Linked DNA regions of Daphnia pulex. Each later gene encodes a partner of the first gene's protein in a complex. Links are inferred from orthologs where the notes say so. Each region holds a gene or a part of one and is shown on either strand. Other genes may lie near its edges.

Region 1 (7,425 bases):
TCGGCCTCCAGCATATCGGGAAAACGACGGACTAAAGACATCGAGGCCAGACATCAACCGCCATCTCAGTAACTAGCACTAAGCGAGGTCGTTTTCATATATTTTTATCATGGAACCGCAAAACCACTTTTTATTCCAGCTGATGTCTAGTTTTTCCAGTTCCAGGTCGGTTGGCACCATCAGATATGAATCAACTCTCTTCACAGCTAAGTCAATAAGAAAGAAGGAAAACGAGCTTTCGTGTAACCTTTAATGCTCAAAAGAAAGAAAAGGCATTTCTTTTCTTTTGTTTCGGTCTGGGCTTTCGTGAAATGAATGGCGTGGGTGCAGCGTGCTGAGCCGTCAAACTCTCGTCATCTGTCCGTTCGTCCAAGAAGATGCTAATCTTTCAAAACCGACTTTTGGTACACACACAGCTCCGGGCTAGCACGCATAGTGAGTGCTAGTCTCTCTCCTTTGTCTGGCCTTATTAGCTGATAATATTTCACCTTCGAGTATATATCAATGTTGGATATGGCCTTTCAAGTCTGTCGTGAGCCTGGATACTCGAGACTCTCCGTCAATAAGATCAATTAACAAATGATGTCCTTTAAAAAAAAGCGCCGTTTTCACGGGACGCACCCAATCACCTTGGGAGCGTGTGTATTGTGTGTGTAGGTTCCAGTCGTCACGTTGTGTACTGCAGCTCATGAAGAATTCCGCGAATTCCCTAAATAATTCATTGCCATAGACCGTTCGCTATGTGTGTAGATTTTCCTTTTATTATTATTTTTTTTTCAATTTGAGCAAGTGTCCTGGTCGCCCACTACATTACGGCCGGCCTTCGCTTACGTGTCAATCGGCCAAGTATTCTAGTCTCGTCGTGTTCGTAGAGCCGGTTGGTGATGGATAGATTTCGAGGAGAGTCCTGCGTGCTGGTGCACAGGACCAGCAGCTACAAAAGTCACGAGCCAAAATATATATACCGCCTTTTGGCAAATATACATATACTACTACCTCTTGTTTGTTTGTGGCTAGATTCCCTTTTGCCGACATTACAAGCTCGCAGATATGCCATTACTTTGTGTGCTGTCAGTTGGTCGTGGGCTGGGACTCGCGTGCAATTCCCTGTTTGATTACGATGCCAATTCTCGAGTTGAATAACAAGGAACCGTCATGATGTTTAACCTAAATCATTTTCAAGGAAAAGAAGAAGAAAAAAACGAAATGCCTGAGATAAACCAACTAGCACATAAAAGGCGAAAATTGGGAGACCGAAGATAACCCTTAAATCTGGCTGCAGCTCACGATTTCTCTTAATGCGAATGGCAGTTGTGTTGCGGTTGTGAGCCGCTGGAATGAAATCCGAAACGGACAGATGAGGTTCCCTATCAGGAAGTGCGACGAATCGTCATCTCCACGCTGCAATGAATCATGAATATTCCCCAGTGCGTACTATTCTTCTCTAAAGGTATGATTTCATCAATTTAATTCCCCGCAAAGAGAAAAAATCAAATCGAATCAAGTACTTTGGACAGGTTGACAGATCACCTGTGGCAACCGGCAGCTGCCGGCTCGTTTGCGAATCATTGAATCATTCTCCGAGTCATTCCCCTGTCAATAATCCATCAGTGACGACTGACGAATGCATGTGTTGCAAAGGTACAACTTTCTACGCTCGTGCTGGCTATAGTCCGGGTTCCTGGTTTAGCGTTTTAGACTGCTGTGAGAAAGGAGACATCTGAATTTTAATTTCAGTCAATCCTTCATTCGCATCAAATGGTTCCTTGACAGCCTTTGTTTGAGCTGTCGGCTTCTAAGATAAAACTGTTTTTTGTTTTTCAGCTTCTATTATTTCAAGCAACCATGTTATGTCCTGCATGAGGACTTTTTCCCATTTAAATTTGTTGGAATTGACGTCACGAATTGACGTGCTTTGAAGTACCCAGATCACCAAGTTTCCCAAACATCTTTACAAACGCAGACCTTTGTGATTGGTTTTGTCAAATTAGATTTTCATTGCTTCTCTTGACGAATATTAAAATTGATAAGAAGGTGGAAATTTATTCTTGGAGCGTCAGTAGGTGAACTCCACGGCCAGAAGCGCTAAACCGGACTATGCTATGCATGAAGTGGTTGGCCACTAGTGACCAAGAAAAGTTCTTGGTTCGACCTTCTCCGATTTGCGTCATCCGGCCGATCGGTTTGCCAGGACCAAAAGACGCGCGAGACTTTCGTTTACGAATTACGACGTTGGCAATCAACCCTCCTCTTTTACTTGTGGCAGTTGTTGTTTGCTTGATGAATCGTAAATGACAGGTTGTATGTAATAATACGTCTAATAAATTGTACAACATACCAAACGTACGAAGGAGCATATTGCATGTATAACGCAACAACTGCAAAGATATGTTTATCGCGTATCTCAATAGTTGAAAATTTGATATTTTCTAACCACAAGCTCCGATTTCAGCTTCAATCAATCATTTAATTTAATTTCAATTGTTCCTTCATTACAGTGCATACAAATAGATTTATCCTATTACATTTAAAATGATTAAAATTTTTAAACAATTCCCCTTATGCCGTAACAGCATTGTATATAATAACCAAAAACTGAAAATTACCCTACTTAAGTGCGGGATATAGCTTTATTTTCTTATCGCTAGGTGTCTTATTTTTCCATTTTACAAAGTCGTCTGCAAGTGGTACTCAACAACTTTGTGAAAATGTCACGATATTTAACGAAATTTAGGTAATAAAAACTTTATCGGTCACGTGGAGGCACTCACTATAATACTTTATAATATATTTAGATTGGCCATACCTCTAGTTATTCAGACCAGGCAATTAAATGCTCATAGAGCGTCAATCGGTAGTATTGGACGATCTATCTACGTGAGAACATACCCAACTTTGCTTGTACAACCTGACGGTTCTACAATAACCGTACATTATAATGAACCTCGCGCAATAATAAAGGCAAATTTATTTTTATTTTTAATAAGTATGGACGTAATGTTTGTTTTACTTCCATTAACAGCTGCCTCTGGACTTGAGTATGCTATCTGAAGCTGAGAAGCAAAAACGACTGGCCCAAAGGAAGCCAAAGAAAAAGGTCAAGATTGAAGAGGAAATTGAAGACACATTTGATCAAGATTCATATTCACATTTATGGAAAAAATGAGATGACAGCTGATACACAAATAGTACGAAAAATAAACTAAATTTAACAATATGGATTGTGGTTATGGGGAGCTCTTTTTCTTTGAAAAAGGCATTTTAACTGGTCTGATGAATGGATTTTCCATGATAAATGGTTCTGAATTTGACATTTCCATCAGTGAGCCATTAGGTCCAAGGTTATCCATCATTTCATTGTTCTCTTTCTCCTGATCCAACTTGGCGGCTTTAATGGCTTCAGCATTTGCTTCTTCTTGCTTTTGCATGTGGACGGCTGCCTCGTCTTCTTCAAAAGTTTGATCGCGAGGGAGAAGGGCGGACAAAAACGGTTTATCCATTGGCTTACATGCAATAACTAGGACACAAAGAATATATTTAAATGAAAAAGGTATACATTACTATTTTTTTCGTCCTCTACTTACGGGGATAATGCGTCAAATCTTCGACCAAAAAGAAACTCTGCGTTTCCCCTGTTTTAGCGACAAAGCGCGTCAGTGCTCTCTCCACATCTCGCTTTTGACAGGATGCCTTTTCTCGAATAGTTTCGTAGTCCGTAATAGGTTGTTTGTGAGTCTTAAAAAACAATAATTATTAAAAAATATAATGTATGACAAATATGGAAAACAACATACTGGTGTTTGAACATATGCATGTGAATCTGGAAATGCTGGCAAATGATCTGGGATATGACTTGGATGTGGTCTCTTTTGACCAGTTTGTAAAATTCCAATTTGTTTGGTTGCAACAGCTTGAGTAGGAGTTGGTAAAACTAGCCTTCTTGCTCTTTGAGCATATGATTCCAAAGAGTTGTGCTTAATTCCCATTGAAACCAAGGCCATAACAACATCTCCTACAACAGGTTCCTAAAATTAAAACATATAACTTGACTACTGATTATACCCTATAACTCAGAGAAGAATTTAGATAACCCATACCACTCTTGCAGATAATTCACAGTAAAGACGGCTACTATGACCAAGTTCAGTCAGAACTGTAGAAAGAAAATAAATAAATAAGGTTTTTAACAAATATGATTACTTTGATAGATAGAAATGCTTACAGCTCTGCATCATCTCGGTAAGGGTCTCCAATGACAATTCATCTACTGCACTGAAGCCTGCCTCACTACACAAACAACTCACACTGGCCTGAAGCAGTTTCCTTCTACAAATATTTAAGATAAATTACATTTGTGTAAAACACCTAATTATTAAGGTCTGTCTAAATCTGACATCAAATACTGTAACATGGAAAAAAAAGATTGAGTATCCTTGTCAGTATTTTAGTCTTTTAAAAGTTGTTTTTCACCACACGTATATTAAATGTTTTACCTAGAAGCTGCTCCAGACATGATGGGTTCTGAAACAGTAGTAGTCATTCTCGGTGTTGTGGTTTATAGAAGAAATGATTTTTTATTGAATTATAATATTTGTTGAATGGTTTTGTTGACAATGCAACAAAACTAGCAGTACAGTCGTTGGTCGTTGCTAAACAGTCGCTAGGATTGGTGCAGCGGCGGCACCTGAAAGCTTCGTCAGATTCACTCGCCGTCAATTCTTTCATTTGGTTCTGAACTTGTAAGTCGTCGTCGTCCTAGTGAGTTTTTATCGTCTTTCATCTGGATTTTACCATAATATAGTTTTACAAAAATGTTCTGTTTAATTAAAGCATTATATAGACGACATTTGTGAGTTTTTCCGTGTTCGTAAATAGTAAACTTCCTATTTTTCTAAACAGGATTATCTAGCCACACCAGCTATATACAATGGCCAAATCCAAGAATCACACAAATCACAACCAGAGTAAGTTTATAAATTATATATTTGGAGACACGTTTTAACGTTTCCTCATTTACAGACCGTAAACATCATCGTAATGGCATCAAGAAATCCCAGGCTCACAAGTGCCCATCCAACAAAGGAGTAAGATTTTTGTTTCTTTAGTTACTTGGAACATTTGTCAAATTGACTAGAATTGGTTATTTAGTATACTTTTGAAGGTTCTTTGTAGTTCCTTGTTGCTTTAAAAATCAAGCCCATATTGATTACTGTTCACTGAAATCCATAAATTTCATTCTAAGTTACTTGACGTGAACTTTTCGTGCCATGTATGTGTTTAACCAATGTTAGTTGAGATTGAAGTTTTAATGTTTCTCCTCATTTGCAGGTCGATCGCAAGTTTTTGAGGAACATGAAGAAATCGCGCGCACGCAATCTGAGCACTGCTAAGCAGTTGATTGTCGCCAAGTACCGCAAGGACCAGGCCGAAAAGTAGTTTCTCAAATTCGCGAGGATTAAGTTTTGTGTAAAACAAAATGTTCTAAATACAAATCTTGATTCTACCTTTTCATCTATTACCTAAATTTATAATTAATGTAATATAATTTATAACTAAATCATAAGACTTATAGAATTGTTTTGCCAAAAAAAGCCGACTATTGTTGTTCATGGCTTCATGCAGCAGATTACTTAAATCTACAAGGATACAAAAAAGACCAATTTGTTTTTTATTACGCCAGTTATATATTTTAAGACAATCTGTACAAAATATAATTTGTATTGGACATCTGACGGATAGACTATTAGCAGCAAATTAACATCTTCAATTTATATTATTGAGAGTAAAAGTAATCTAAGGTCGTGGTCTGCGTTTTACCTGTAAAGAAAAAACGTCGTTAAATATCCTATTTCAGTAATGATTAACAGTTTTTACCTTTAATTTTCATTGTAACTGGTCCTCTCTTCTTTTTAGTGCCTGAAAGTGATGAACTGGAGGAACCGGCACCTTTTGGGTAAATTTCGGGTTTTGCGTGACCTCCAAATCCATCATAGAAATAACCACTAGTTGACGGTACTGGATCGACTTTCATTTTTTTAAACTTCAGGGATTCACCATCAACGGATGCGGATGAACTGCTAGCTTTGCGAGCCTCCTTTCGCTGAGTACTGGAAGCTGCTTCTTCTTGTTCAGGATTGCTAAGTTTGGGCTGCATGCTCGAAATATTTTGCGATGACAACATCAATCTAGACGAAGGAACGTTCGAAGGTTTCATTCTAAGCGGAACTAATGGAGTAGAAGGTGACGATGGCGTTGTCATGAGAAGATTAGACATTCGAAGGTTAGTCGGCGCAGGACTCTCATTGATTAGACGAGACAGCGCAGAGTTGCGAGGATCACCACTCGGCGATGAGATCGACTCCGTAAGGGCCTTAAGCTTTTCTTGCAGTTTTGCATTTTCTGTAGTATATCTTTTAATATCCTCTTCTGCCAAGCTGGATTGCTCTTCTTTCTCCTTCAATTCCTTCTTGGTTTGCTGGAGTTCAAGGCGGAAAGTGCTTAGGAGTCGTCGACATTTTCTTAACTCTTCGTCGGCTTTCTGCTTTAGTTGTACTTTAGTATTCAGCTCCCTATGGGAAAATAAACTTTGAAACAAAGCTTTGAATGTTGGCTGATATTATTCAGTACCTGCTTAAAATCACACATTGCGTGCTCAAGGATTTGGCCGTTTCTGAGTGATCACCATATTGCTCCAGCATTTCTTTTACTTCGTCATGAGTAGCAGTCACAATTTGTTGAACATTTTCCATCAGTTTAAGCTTTCCTTTACAAGTCTGCAGCTCTTCTTCTACGATGGCGAAAGACTTAACTTGCTTATTCAGGAAATCGACTCTCTGTTGGAGGTTGCTTATGACGGTTTCCGACTCACGAACTTTTTCTGCACTTTCCTTTTTTTCTTTACAGTACTTGTTAGATTTTTTCTTTAGAGTAACATTCTCTTGCCTAACTTCTCTCAGTTCTCTTTGTACAACTTGAAATTCCAGGGACATTTCATCCAGCTTTTGTTGAAGATCTGCAGAGTCCACTTCAACAGAGAAAGCAATATCAAAGAAGATTCTGCCTAGTTTTTCATTAGACGTGGTTTGACGACAGGTTGGACAAGATTTCTTGGTACTGTACATTTAAGGAAAAAGATGTTAAGGATATCAACAAGAAAACTGTATTAAAGGTGTTACCCAAGCCATTGTGTGATGCAAGTGTTGTGAAATGTGTGACCACATTGTGGAGCCATGACGACATCAGAGTCACCAAAGAGCTCCTGACAGACAGAACACTGGGCACGCATTGTGTGGCTTTGTAAACTAAACCAGTAGCTTTTACAAATCTGAAAAGATAATTAATCATGAGTAAAAGAAATGAGTTTACCACTCATCAAGGAAATTATTCCAAATTAACACATAAACAAAGTGGGATAACAGACTATGT
Region 2 (8,075 bases), on another chromosome or scaffold:
GCCTGCGCAGCCACTGCACCTTGACTGAAACATGTCTAATCTATCCACTTCTGCTAACACAGGAAATCCGCGCAACAAAACTGCGCTCAAACCAGGACGTTCCCTCATGGATTGGATCAAACTCACCAACTCATCTACTGATCTCAGTGGAACGGGAAATCGGTTAAGGGATATCTCTCCTAACGAACTCGCTCAGCATAATAGCAAAAATGACGCTTGGCTGGCCATTAGAGGTTCTATTATTTAATGCTTTTCTTTTTTCTCCTTCCTAATAATCAATTATAATTTTATTTTCTTCAAAATAAGGAATGGTGTACAACGTAACTTCTTATTTCGAATTCCATCCTGGCGGCGAGGAAGAGTTGTTGCGTGGTGTCGGGATTGACGCTACCGATTTGTTCGATGAAGTCCATAAATGGGTAAACTACGAATCGATGCTGAAGAAATGCCTGGTCGGAAGATTGAAGGCGGATTCCATGCTGCCTCCAGTCAAACGCGCACAAAGCAAAGTTATCGTTGGAAAGGGCTTTCCTGCGCCTCCTCCGCCCACTCTGTCGATATCGACGCCTTCTATTGGAGTTGTCACCACCGATTGGATGCAGAACTCCACCAGCGTCACTGTCGTCCTTTATACGCGACAAAAAGGACTTGACGCACACCGGGTGTCGACGTCTATCGACGGGAAACTTTTCCGTATTCGTATCTACAGCGACGATTGGTCACGCTGTTACGATTATCAAATTCACTTAGCCGAAGTTGTCGAATCTTCCTGTAAGGTTACAGTATCGTTGACAACGGGCAAAGTGGAATTGGTATTGCGCAAAATACAAACTGCACTCCATTGGCAGAAATTGGGCGATTTGGAGGACGTCAGCCAAGGGTTTCAGCCGTTAAGCCAAGCCTCACCATTCTTCCGCCAGGCCACTTTAACACGCAAATTGCGCGTTAATCACAATGTTTTTCTATTCACTTTGACGTTTCCTACTGGTCAAGACTTTTACGTCCCTGTTGGTTGGCATGTTCAACTCAAACTATCTCTGGAAGGTGATTGCACATATGCGTGATCTTGAAAAAGGGTTTTTTATTTTTATTTTTTATTTTCACGTTTCTAATCATTAGATGGAAGTGAATTAATCCGTAGCTACACTCCTGTTGTTTCTGATCTTTCTTCGTGCAAGACAACAGACTGCCCATCTAAAACTGAAGCGTCTAGTTCGCTTCAGTTTCTAATCAAAATCTACCCTGCTGGACCATTTACTTCGGCATTGGATCGATTGGCTGAGGGTAACAGCTCGATTGAAGTGAGTGATCCAACTGGAAACTTCCTAGAATCGCAATTAGAGAGCAAGAATGTGGTAGCTATCGCCGCTGGTACGTATTAGCATTGTTGGACGACCCCCATTGTTGCCTTGTCTTTGTTGACATTGTTCTGTTTATTCATATTTGCCCTCCCGTGATATATTAACCAATAGCAAACATCTTAAGTAAATTACATTCTTTTTTTAATAAATTAAAATTCCAGGTACGGGGATCACGCCATTAGTCAGAATAACAATCGATACCTTACGCAATAATAGGTACCCCTTTTGATGTTTTTGTCGATTAATCTCTTATGAACTAAGCTCATTTGAATACCAATTTTGATTAATTTAGGCGTGTTATGTTACTGTTCTTCAACCGAACTCAAGAAGACATAATCTGGAAAGAAGAGTTTCGGGAATTAGAACTTAAATATCCTGAGAAGTAGAAAAACCGAAATTTCATTCTAACCTCACATTAATGAAACATCTATATCAATTTTTCAACAGGTTTAAAGTATGGCACGTATTGTCTGAGCCGGATGAAGAATGGTTAGGTCTTCGAGGCCGAATCAACAATTCTATACTAGCCACAACTATTTTAGGTAGGGATTGTCCTGACGACGGTTCCAATTTTGCGTGTGTTTGCGGACCGTCAGACTTTACTTTGGAAACACTCAGGTGATACATTCTTTGAAAATTCACACGAAATTTTGGATTGAAAAAAATGACGAAAGTTTATTTATTGTTAAAAAAGGTTGCTGGATGCTGCAGGATACATAAATGAGGCCGTTCACGCGTTTTCGGGATAGAAAATTAGGAAACGCCTGCATATTTGACTTCATCGAAAGCTTTACGAGCTTTCTTCAGCTCCTCGTTCATGGTTAGAAGGTCTTTGACGCGGGCAAATTTACGCGTGTCCTTGCGAACTAAAAACACCATGTCTTCAACTTGAACTCGGCCTGTCCGTCCAGTTTCCATGGCCTTGTGCGTCTGAAGTAGTAATAATGCAAATAGTTAATGTCAATAAAGTCATTTGCCATGTTATAGAATTCTAATCAGGTTGCCGACTCTTTGTGAATTGCCATAACACGATGAAACATTTGCATTTGATTTCAAAAATAAACATTTTTGCATTCTAACTTGATAAATAAAATTCAAAGATAGCAAATCAGATGTCACAGTTTGAAAAAAATTTTAAGGTATTAGTCCTACCGTTTCAGTGATGTATTCAATAACAAGGTCTTCCAGCAGATCAACACTTTCTGTATAGGGATTTTGATCATCACCAAATCCAAACATCATGCAACGAAGTTCCTTGCTGAAGAGGCGCTTTCTGCCTGATGAAGTGGATCCATAATGCAAATCAGGTTCATCATCATCAAACTAGAAATTGAAACATTTAGAAATTAAATGAACAGTAAAGCATTAAAACAAATTTAAATACAAAAATTTCCACCAGCAATATGTTATATGTACCAGCAAAACTTTCAGCTGGAAATTACTTAAGATTTAATGTAACTTAAAAGAAGAAAATTACCTGATCATAGTTTTCATCTGGATTTTCTCTTTCTTTGCTGTCTCTTTCTTTCTGTGGGGACGAAGTCAATGAAGTATTCACCGAGGGAGAAGACATTTTGAAATTTGATTACTAAACGAGTAAATGTTAGTGGGTTGGAGAATTTTCGAGCAATAAACGTCAACAAATCAACCACTGCAGAAGACACTAGGTAGGTTAGTAACGAAAACGGTTGCCAGATGGCTGTAAAAGCACTCTTGTACGTACTAAAATCTGCTTTCTTGTAAAAAAAATACATTGCGCGGCGCCTGATTACGCATTCAACATTGAAAAATGTTTATTGGTTACAAAAAGCCAGAGTTATAGCTCTGCAAAAAGCGTCAAAGCAAAAATTTCCTCGATTTAAATTAGTGTCGTCCATTTTCATTCAGTTTGAAATCTCCAACGTAACTCGGCTTTTCTACGCCGTTAGCGTACATGGCAACATCATACTTGATTCGATATGGTTTATTGGAACCTTGATTGTAAAATAAGGAAACAGTGATACGAGCTTCTACTTGTTTTCCGGGGTAAAATTTTTCAGAATCCTCAATCATCTTGCGGACTTCAAATTCGAAAGATTTGTAGGCACTGTTGTTGAAATTTTTGTGCATGGGGACGAGATTATTTACGTCCGATCCCGATCCTCCAAGCATTTTGGCAATGATATGCCCGGCATGATAGTCTCCTTCTATACCTAGTTGTTTTTTCTGCTCATTGTTTATGGACACTGTACTTCCATTTCCAAAATTTTCCGACCGAACAACCGCATAAACTTTGCGATACTCGTTCTTCTTCTCCAACCTTAACTTTGACAGACTTGTCATTCGACATTCTTGTAGACAGGAACTGAACCAAGAATCTGTAACACAAAATGTGTTTTAAAGTCCTCATAACTGGAGATTCTAAAGTCGAATTGCTGGACTATATACTCACCCAAGCAAACAAATGAATGTCTTTTCACTCTTTCCGGAGTTTGTTTTTGAGAAATTGCTCGGAAAACTTTGGGCGGGTCAGACGATCAAGAGCGGAACAGCGGATTCCTGCTGTCTGTTTATGTTTACGAAATTCGATTCATAAATCGTCGCCAGTGTTGCATTATTATACACTTCAAACATATCTCATTACTATTATATTTTTTAGTTTCTTTTAACGAAATCACGTTGTAGAGCGGTGATTCGACTCCGAATGAATCCATAAATAAAGGATAAGGAAATTTAAAAAAATACGTGGTCAGGTTAAATCTAGATATGGCAACCTCACTTCTCTAGTTGTTGTTGCAGCCGTAGCCGAGCCGCATTCAAGAAAAACTAATTTTGATTGGAAAGTTTCACTTACCTGTTTTTATAACTATTTCTATAAAAAGGAATAAAAATAACTAGACATGACTTCTCAAAAAAGTACCAGAGAAGTATTGCTTACTTGCATCGACGATATCGAAATCATCGCAAAGTAAGTTTTTCTTGATTTGGCTGCCTTTGTTCGTCGACTATTTTGATCACGTAGTGCAATTGTTCTTCCTTCAAAATTTTTTTAATGAAAGTTAAAGCCTCAGATCTATCTATTGTTCATTAGCATGATATATTTATTTATCTTATTAGGTAATCATACCATTGTTTACCTGAAATTCAGAACACTTTGTCACACTCGTTTGTATCATACACTGTTTTGAATTTGATTATTGAATTTTAATCTTCCAAAATATAATTGTCACTGTACTAAACTTAATCTTTTTAATTTATTAGGGAACTTTTGGACAACTTAATAGCCCAGAAGCAGCAGAAACCTATGAGTACTGAACACTCTCAACTTGTTGAATTGGTTCTTCAAAAAGACACTGATCTTAAGGCAACACTTAAGGTAAAATTATTTGTTTTTCATAATTTTTTTCAATGCTAATTCTTTCTTTTATTAAGTTGGCTGAAGAACAAGGTGTATTACAACAAAAAGTAGTTGCCTTAGAGACAGAAGTTGAAAGGCATGATGTTGAGATTCGAAATCTTCAAAAGCAGCTTAAGGAGGCAGAGCAGCTATTAGTAAGCTATTTTTAATTATTTTGTTGGTTTTAGTATTTCATAAACTTACTCTTTTTCAGGCTACTGCAATCTTTCAAGCTAAGCAAAAGTTGCAATCAATCACACGGGCGAATAACAGACCTGTAAATTCCGAAGAGTTGATAAAATTTGCTCACAGAATATCGGCTTCCAACGCTGTTTGTGCTCCTTTGAATTGGCAGCAAGGAGATTTACGCAGACCATATCCCACGGGTAGAAATTTTTTTTTAAATTGCTGTCCAGTAGTTTCATGTTGTTTTGTGGTGGTTTTCAGATATTGAAATGCGGCTAGGATTTTTGGGCCGTCTTGGTGAAATGAATGTCAATGGACACATGAGTTTTCCAGAACTTTTGCATCGTCCTAATCATTCTTTGCAGCAGGGGTCTTCAGTTCCGAATTCTCAAGCAGGCACTTATAGTTGGTTATCTCAAAATGACCTGCAAATGCCCTGTTTGTCAGTTTCACACTTGGGTGTGAGTGGTGGAATGGATCACAAAAATCCCAAGAAAGAGAATGAAGATGTCGACGTTATGTCTACGGACTCGAGTAGCAGTTCATCTTCCGATTCTCAGTAAACACGTGAGCTAACAATTTACACTCTGTATCCTGCGCGATTGCTTAATATTGTTGGTAACCATCCTGTATACTATTCTACTTTCGCATTTCTTTTTGAAAACCTTCCTCATTCAAAGGTTCGTAAAATAGATAAATATTTGTGCAATTCCTTTTTCGAATTGTTCAAATTCTTTTCCATTATAAAGTTATGCAACAATTTATTTTATAGTTAACTTCTCACTATTTACAAAATAGCTTTAGAATCGAACTCCCCATATAAATTCAGGAGATGTGCGTCATCTCTATAAAAATACCTAGATTTCCATATATTCTTCAGCATAATAACCCGAGGCACGTCGGTTAAGGTCACACAAAGTATTCGCGTATTTCATCGAGCAAATAATCGGATGTCTCTTCGCTTATCTCCACAAACCGTTTTTGCTTGCGGCTAAAGACGTAGATGTCTCCGGTATAGATGTCGAACCATAACCTAGTATCATAAATTTCAACATTAAACACTTACGAGTAAACGTTTGATACATGATACATACGCGTGAAGGTGTACTCGCCCCGAATTTATGGCACTTTGAATGAAGCTATAACTGGCAATATGCTGTAGTTGTTGCAATGTGTTGAGCTGAAAAAAGATAACCCAATTAGATTTGTAGACATTACATAACTTGGCATAATTCTACCTGTGAGAGCTTATCTGTTAGACTAAATTTATTGTCAGGGTCTATGTAGGCAACAAATTGTCTGAATGGTCCCTCCATTGGGAAAGTCAAGGGCTGTTGGAAACCATGCACTTCTAACCTCTCAAATTTAGTTAGAGAAATACTACCATGGCGATGAAGCCAAGCTTTAAGTGGAGATCTCTCGAGAGTTCTCATGTTGGTTTCAATTCCTTTTTTAAAACTATACAATAGGTTCATAGCCTGAAACAAAAGTTGTGTGTCATTATGTTTATGTTATCATTTAACAAGTTTATGGTTGACTGACCTTGCAATCTGAGTGTCCACAAACAACCATGTGCTTCACATTATTTACAATGCACCCCAGCTCCAGGGCTGCTGGTTCAGTGGTAGCTGAATCAATTCCATACAGCTTCGAGTGAGGAACCAGATTACCAGCATTTCTAACTTATATTTACAATGTCCAGGAATATAAAAAAGCAAGCAGTATATATACTTGTGTTTTAACATACCTATGAACATATCACCAACATCTGTTTGTGTAAATCGAGTTGGAAGCATTCTGCTGTCCATACAGGTAAAAAACACTGCTTTTGGCTAGAAATATACGATTATTTTATGTTTTGAATGAAAAAAAACTAATGAAAAAAAAACTTTTTACCTCAGGTCGATCAGCAACTTGTTTAAACTGTTCCACCATTTCAGTTCGATACGTTTTTCTGTATTTAAGGATACCTTTCAATATTTTGTCCATTTTTTTTTTATGTCCACGTTGGAATGTCGACCGAAGGGATTGGGGCGACGATAAATAAGGTGCAAGAGTGTATTTCTTGATGGTCCAATGGTCCTGTTATGATGAGTGTTTACGTTAGTTCAACAACTAGATACAACCAGAGAGACAAGTAACTCCGTTGCCATGTGACTGCAAGCAGACGTTTTTATCGTCGGCTGAGGATTGATGTTTCATGCCAAAATCAAAATAGATCGGTTGCGCGGTACTGCCAGCAACACAGCGATTCGTTTTTTAAAATTATTATTTCGGTGAAATTTCATTGCGTAAATTGCGGCGGCACCTTTATTCATTATTTAATATTGCGTTAATTGAATTCTTATTTTTAGGAATTTGATAATAGATGGCAGTCATATCATACAAAAGCCGTTTTTTTGTTTTGTTTTGAATCTTTATTTGTATGTATGAACACGGAATAGCCGTAAGCGGTATCCTTATCAATTATTGAATTAAAAAAACAAACATGTTCAGGCTACGTGACGTTTTGTTTGCTTTTGTATTTTCACGACAGAATTTCAATAATTTAATTTATTGAACATAAAATTGAGCATTTGAGATGCGGTTAGCTCAATTCTTCGAGGGCGTGACCAAAGACTTCATGTATTGCATAATCTGCTGGATGCTCTTTCTTTGTGTGTTCAGTCATCTCTTCTTCGCTTTGACAAACAAATTTGCAAGAAGGACAAGATTTCCGCGCAATACATTCAGGAATATGTGAATCCAACTTTTTCTTTGAACTAAATTTCTTCGAGCAATTTGGACACTGGAGAGCAACTGAAGCATCATGAGTTCGCGCGTGGGATTGTAGGTTTGAGCGACTGGAGAAATTTTTATCACAAATTCGGCATGCGAAAGGTTTGACTCGTTCGTGCAATACTACGTGATTTTTAAATACATCTTTGCGTTCGAAAGTTGCTGTTGGAATACAAATTTCACAGGTATATACTGACTTTGCTCTATGATGACTGTTTTTCAAATGAACGTTCAACTGGATCTGGTTAGTAAAGGATTTGTTGCATTTTGAACACTTCAATAAAGACTCTGATGAATCGTTACTCTCACGGTGATTCAAGGCCTTATGGTAACTCAGTCCATCAAGACTTCGGTAACTCTTACCACATTCTTCG

The links. Proteins that work in one complex are often made in the same cells at the same time.
Region 2: transcription initiation factor TFIID subunit 8-like (region 1) and transcription initiation factor TFIID subunit 13-like share a complex: the UniProt entries of both Homo sapiens proteins name them as parts of the TFIID basal transcription factor complex. The link is inferred for Daphnia pulex from reciprocal best matches to the Homo sapiens genes TAF8 and TAF13.

Annotation. Positions count from the first base shown.
Region 1 is NC_060020.1:5,723,216-5,730,640, reverse strand, and holds transcription initiation factor TFIID subunit 8-like, read right to left. Parts: upstream 4,656-7,425; 5' UTR 4,541-4,655; coding exon 4,494-4,540; intron 4,327-4,493; coding exon 4,223-4,326; intron 4,154-4,222; coding exon 4,098-4,153; intron 4,026-4,097; coding exon 3,795-4,025; intron 3,736-3,794; coding exon 3,585-3,735; intron 3,518-3,584; coding exon 3,228-3,517; 3' UTR 3,133-3,227; downstream 1-3,132. Other genes in the region: E3 ubiquitin-protein ligase TRAIP-like, read right to left, coding at 5,774-5,817, 5,875-6,569, 6,628-7,113, 7,176-7,285. UniProt on the Homo sapiens protein: The TFIID basal transcription factor complex plays a major role in the initiation of RNA polymerase II (Pol II)-dependent transcription.
Region 2 is NC_060026.1:12,374,747-12,382,821, reverse strand, and holds transcription initiation factor TFIID subunit 13-like, read right to left. Parts: upstream 3,928-8,075; 5' UTR 3,793-3,927; intron 3,719-3,792; 5' UTR 2,935-3,718; coding exon 2,839-2,934; intron 2,685-2,838; coding exon 2,514-2,684; intron 2,441-2,513; exon of another isoform or gene 2,292-2,440; coding exon 2,115-2,291; 3' UTR 2,111-2,114; coding exon of another isoform or gene 2,056-2,110; 3' UTR 2,010-2,055; downstream 1-2,009. Other genes in the region: cytochrome b5 reductase 4-like, read left to right, coding at 63-233, 307-1,044, 1,120-1,371, 1,523-1,577, 1,654-1,743, 1,809-1,979, 2,056-2,110; mediator of RNA polymerase II transcription subunit 4-like, read left to right, coding at 4,241-4,308, 4,602-4,716, 4,773-4,892, 4,952-5,123, 5,185-5,486; beta carbonic anhydrase 1-like, read right to left, coding at 5,833-5,956, 6,018-6,103, 6,162-6,401, 6,466-6,605, 6,671-6,755, 6,820-6,912; gastrula zinc finger protein XlCGF7.1-like, read right to left, coding at 7,511-8,075. UniProt on the Homo sapiens protein: The TFIID basal transcription factor complex plays a major role in the initiation of RNA polymerase II (Pol II)-dependent transcription.